Cricetulus griseus: one gene and its partner. The protein of the gene in region 1 interacts with the protein of each later gene in a biochemical or structural test. Links are inferred from orthologs where the notes say so. Each region holds a gene or a part of one and is shown on either strand. Other genes may lie near its edges.

The links. The genes of interacting proteins can lie anywhere in the genome.
Region 2: the proteins of Rrm1 (region 1) and Rrm2 form a complex in vitro, tested with the Homo sapiens proteins (3 studies listed by BioGRID and IntAct). The link is inferred for Cricetulus griseus from reciprocal best matches to the Homo sapiens genes RRM1 and RRM2.

The regions. Positions count from the first base shown.
Region 1 is NC_048596.1:96,938,248-96,941,769, reverse strand, and holds part of Rrm1 (ribonucleoside-diphosphate reductase large subunit), read left to right. Parts: intron 1-1,162; coding exon 1,163-1,340; intron 1,341-2,049; coding exon 2,050-2,150; intron 2,151-3,522. UniProt on the Homo sapiens protein: Provides the precursors necessary for DNA synthesis. Catalyzes the biosynthesis of deoxyribonucleotides from the corresponding ribonucleotides.
Region 2 is NC_048600.1:26,960,970-26,963,245, reverse strand, and holds part of Rrm2 (ribonucleoside-diphosphate reductase subunit M2), read left to right. Parts: intron 1-170; coding exon 171-265; intron 266-400; coding exon 401-534; intron 535-1,866; coding exon 1,867-1,971; intron 1,972-2,051; coding exon 2,052-2,165; intron 2,166-2,276. UniProt on the Homo sapiens protein: Provides the precursors necessary for DNA synthesis. Catalyzes the biosynthesis of deoxyribonucleotides from the corresponding ribonucleotides. Inhibits Wnt signaling.

The DNA.
Region 1 (3,522 bases):
TGTAGATACAACTTAGATTTTATTTTTCTTTAAAATGTATGGTGGGCTCTGTAAGCATGAGACCCTGAGTTTGGATTGCAACCCATGTGGAAAAGCTGGGTACAGCAGTGTGTTTAACCCCAGCTCTGGGCACATAAAAGCGTCAGATCCCAGGCACACATTAAATTGGCAAGCTCCAGACTCAAGGAGACATTGTCACAGTGAGACTTCTGTCCATGTGCTTTCCGTGCTGGCTCCTCTGACTGTGTGTACTGTGTACTTGTGTGGGTTTTTTTTTTTTTTTTTGTGTGTGTGTGTTTGCTTTTTGTTTTTTTCTTCATTCCTTGTTCATTTATTCTTATTACTGTGGGAGAAAATAATTGTAATAATAATTCAATTAAAACATAAAAACTATCTGGTTTCAGGCAAGCCAGGGATACTTTGTAAAAATGTGTCTGAAAACAAAAGTGAAAAAACAAAGCTATTCATATACTCTGTGCTTTTGTTATTATTGATCTTTCAATTTTAAATGGTCTTTACTGAACTAAAAATAAGGAGAGAGGCAAGTTGAATCCTGAAATCCATTCTGACCTCCACATGCACCTGCATGGGTGAGTGAGCCTATACTGATGTGAAGAGAGGGCTCAGTTGGTAGTGCTTGCTTTGTAAGCCTGAGGACCTGAGTTTGGATTCCCAGCACCCATGGAAAAAGTCAGATGTGATAGTGCATGCCTGTGGGAAGGCAGATACAGGGGGCTTCCTGAAGTCCACTGGTATATTATCTTGTCCAGATAGTGCACTCCAGGATCAATGAGAGACCCTGACTCAAAAACTAAAATGTGTGAGGTGGGTGCTGGAGAGATGGTTCAGCAGGTCAGAGCACTGGTTACTTTTCCAGAGGAACCAAGTTCAATTCCCAGTATCCACATGACAACTCAACTGTAACTCCAGTCCCAGAGGATCTGCCATCTGTTAGCATGAGGCATGTACTTACTCTTTCGAAAAACTAAACTTCTATTTTATATGTATAGGATACATTTTTGGTAGTTTTGTTGGTTTATGGATTCTTACATTGGGATAAATAATGGTTTTCAAATGAGGAGATTATGTTATAACTTAACTATTTTAAGGAGGCTATTGTTTCTTGGGAAAGCTCAAATAACTATTGGTTTTATTTTTGTAGGCTCAAATCACCATGAAAGTAATCCAAGGCCTGTATAGTGGGGTCACCACAGTGGAACTGGATACTCTGGCTGCTGAGACAGCTGCAACCTTGACTACGAAGCACCCTGACTATGCCATCTTAGCAGCAAGGATTGCTGTGTCTAACTTGCACAAAGAAACAAAGAAAGTGTTCAGTGGTATGTCTGGAGTAACAACATTTTAAAGAATTTAATGCTGTCATAACATTATAGGAATAATAATTACATAAGTTTCAAAGATTACATCTTATTTTAAAAGGCAGTAAACAACTCAGTGGTATAGTGTAAACTAGAACTTCCTGCTTTTCCATGTAGCTGACCTGCTACATGTGTGTGTGTGGTGTATGTTGAGACAAGGTCTCATTTAGCCCAGGATGCCTGCAAACTCAGTTTGTAACCAAGGCCAGCCTTGAACTCCCGATGCTTTTGTCTCTATCCCTTAAGTTCTGGGATTGTAGGCATATGTCATTATTCTGGCTTGAATTTCTGTTCGTTTTGTTTTGTTTTGTTTTGTTTTTCGAGACAGGGTTTCTCTGTGTAGCTTTGGAACCTATCCTGGCACTCGCTCTGGAGACCAGGCTGGCCTCCAACTCACAGAGATCTGCCTGCCTCTGCCTCTGCCTCCCGAGTGCTGGGATTAAAGGTGTGCACCACCAACGCCTGGCTTACATTAATTTTCTTTGAAAGACTATTTCTTTATATATATAAAGTATTATCCTATAGGAACTCAACAGACGTATGTTTGTTGAATATTTTCTCTGCTAGGCACTGAAGTGGGTTGGTATTTAAAAAACAAGAATTGAAAGCCACTGTTTTCAAACAGCATTAAGTGGTTTTGACTTTCCTTTTTTATTTTATCTTTCCTCAGATGTGATGGAAGATCTTCACAACTACATAAATCCACATAATGGCAGACATTCTCCCATGGTGGCCAGTTCAACACTGGATATTGTTATGGCCAATAAAGATGTATGTACAACATTTTTTTCTGGTGGAAATGTTTTGATTTTTGTTTGTTTGTTTGTTTGTTTTGTTTTAAAGTAATGTATTTAAGGCTAGGTAGTGGTAGTACATGCAAGCAGAGGCAGGCAATTCTCTGAGATAAAGGCCAACATGTTCTACAGAGCATGGGCATTCTGTTCTCACTGTTGTTATTTTCACTTAGAGCTATAACTCATAAATATCAGCATTTATGAATCTGCCTCATTTATCACTTATCCTATCAGTGGTATAACATTCCTTGTTTTTGGTTTTTCGAGACAGGGTTTCTCTGTGTAGCTTTGGAGCCTATCCTGGCACTCGCTCTGAGATCAGGTTGGCCTTGAACTCACAGAGATCCACCTGCCTCTGCTTCCTGAGTGCTAGAATTAAAGTGTGTGACACCAAAGCCCGGCCTACGAAAGTTCTTTAACATTGACCATTTTTGTTTTTGTGTTTTTTGAGACAGGGTTTCTCTGTGGCTTTGGAGGCTGTCCTAGAACTAGCTCTTGTAGACCAGGCTGGTCCCAAACTCACAGAGATCCTCCTGCCTCTGCCTCCTGAGTACTGGGATTAAAGGCATGCACCACCACCACCCAGCAACATTGGCCATTTTTTTTTTTAAATAATTTATATTTATTTTTGTGTACGTTGGTGTTTTCCCTACATGTGTGTCTGTGACAGTGTCAGATCCCCTGGATTGGAGTTACAGACAGTTGTGAACTGCCATGTGGGTGCTGGGAATTGAACCCAGGTCCTCTGGAAGAGCAGTCCATGCTCTTAACCTCTGAGCCACCTCTCCAGTCCCAACATTGGCCAATTTTATAAAATCTTATTACCACAATAGTAATTTGTTGGGCTAGAGAGATTTCTCAGTGGTTAAGAGCACTGCCTGCTCTTCCAAAGGTCCCGAGTTCAATTCCCAGCAACCGCATGGTGGCTCACAACCATGTGTAATGAGATCTGGTGCCCTCTTGTGGCCAGCAGTTATACATGCAGGCAGAACACTGTACACATAATAAAATAAATAAATCTTTAAAAAAATAGTAATTAGTTTTAGAGCTGTTAAAGGACCATGAGTTTTTAAACCCTATAAGCTACTTTCTGTTTGCTTGTAATATGTATTATTTTGTTCGGTTTAAAGTGGGTTCAATGTCAAATAAAAAATTGGAAGCTGAAAATGGTGGTATATGCTTATGATCCTAGGAGGAAGCAGAGTTAAGATTGTCCCTGCAAGTTCAAGACTAGACTGCTAGTCTACTTAGTTCAGGCTAGTCAGAGGTACATAGCAAGTTCCTGTCTCAATAAAAATTAAAAGGTGAAGCCAGGTGCACACCTTTAATCCTAGCACTCTGAAGGCAGA
Region 2 (2,276 bases), on another chromosome or scaffold:
AAAAAAAGAAGTCCTGAGTTCAATTCCAAGCAACCACATGGTGGCTCACAACCATCTATAGTGGGATCTGAGATGCCCTCTTCTGGCGTGCTGGTGTATATGTATATAGAGCACGATTGTGATGCCAGGGGTCTGTGGCATCATAGTTCATGCTTTACTTCTGCCTGCAGGGAATATCTCTTCAATGCTATTGAAACAATGCCTTGTGTGAAAAAGAAGGCTGACTGGGCCTTGCGTTGGATTGGGGACAAAGAGGCTACATATGGTAAGGACACTTTGTTTTCTCCTAAAGCCCCGGGCTTGATTTTGCTTGTCCAAGTAATGTCACTGGGTTGTTGGCCCACACTAAGAATACCAAGCTCTCACTAGGAACATTTTGGTGTTGCCTCTTGCCCTATAGGAGAGCGCGTTGTGGCCTTTGCTGCCGTGGAGGGGATCTTCTTCTCTGGTTCTTTTGCATCAATATTCTGGCTCAAGAAGCGGGGACTGATGCCCGGCCTCACCTTTTCCAATGAGCTCATTAGCAGAGACGAGGTGAGTCTAAAATAACTGGTCCTCGGCTCCTAGCTATGTGCTCTTGTATCTACTGACAGGGGCTTAAGAAGGCGTAGCCATTTCAAAGGATGCATTCCTTATGTGTGAGTATTTTGCCTGCAGAAGACAAAGGGGGATGTGGGATGCCCAACTGGAGTTACATATGGTTGTGAGCCTCCGTGTAGGTGGTGGGAACTGAGCCAGGCTCCTTTGCAAGAGCAGTAAATGCTCCTCGAGACTGCTGAGCCATGTCAAGCCTTGGAAATCCAACCCAGGGTCTCATGCTTGCTAGGCAATTATTGTGCCACTGAGCCACATTCCCAGCCCCATATCCACCACATTTAATGTGAGCTCAATCATGCCATATACTCAGCAAGGAAGAAAATACCTTAAGTGATGTATTGAAACTACCCATAATTAGTACACATATTCCTATTGTCCTGTAGGCTTGAATGCAAAAGCTGAGATCTCTGAATAGGATTTTTAGGATATCATAAGCAATCCTTTGTATGTCTTTGTACTGCCAAGTTAATTGGTAAGGCCTCTGATGACCTAAGGCTCCTGTAGGTGCTTGAAGTAGATTGAGGAAAGACAGGGGCTGGCACCCCACCACCCCTGGATCCAGTGGGCAAGCAGGCAGGGTAGGTGATTATCTCCCTGTGGAATGAGGAGCCCTGAGACTTACTAGAGAATGGTGTGCTAAGAGTCACAAGTTTACCTCATTGAAACTATCTAATTCCTGAGTATCGAAAAGCTAACTGACCCTCCTTGTTAAGGAGAACTGGAGCTCAAAGCTGTGGAGAAACCTAAGCAAAGATTTGGTTATCAGAGGGTATAGGCCTGTTCCTATGCTATAGTAGGGGGTAGCTTTGAGGGCCTTCATTTGGGATAGCCTACTTGGCTTTCACAATTGGCAGTTTAACACCTTTTTAACTGTTAACAGCCTGTTTCTCCTTTACAGCCCTAACTCTCCTAGAACTCACTCTGTAGGCCATGCTGGTTTGGAACTCACAGAGACTTGACTTTCTCTGTCTTCCCCAAGTGCTAGGATTAAAGGCCTGTGCCACCATGCCCAGGCCACCTGCTTTTCCTCAATTTTGTTGTTTTGTGTTTTGGAGGTCTTGTAGTCTAGCTGGTCTGGAACAATGTAAACTCATGGGGATCGTGCCAGGTGTATGTCACCATACCAGGCTTCCTTTTGACAAGCCAAATACTCTCAGTGTGGCCAGAAAAATTGCATGAGACTACAAAGATATATAAAGCAATTTTCATCCACACATGTGAACAGTAGGAGTCTTCAGCCTCACAGTGATCTTGAACTTTCCCTTCCAGGGTTTACACTGTGACTTTGCCTGCCTGATGTTCAAGCACCTGGTACACAAGCCATCGGAGCAGAGAGTACAAGAAATAATAACCAACGCAGTGAGGATAGAGCAGGTGGGTGATGTGGGTGGGTTGCTCTTGCTGGAAGGGGGTTCCTGGGGCTTCAGGGTGCTCAAGCTTTGCTCGGCCTTTAGGAGTTCCTCACGGAGGCCTTGCCTGTGAAGCTCATCGGGATGAACTGCACTCTGATGAAGCAGTATATCGAATTCGTGGCAGACAGGCTTATGCTAGAGCTGGGGTTCAACAAGGTAAAGTGTCCTCTATGGTCTTCCCTTCCTCGCTTTTGTGTGTGTGTGTGTGTGTGTGTGTGTGTGTGTGTGACTTGTTTTCAGCATTGATGTCTCGATGCTCCTTTTCAG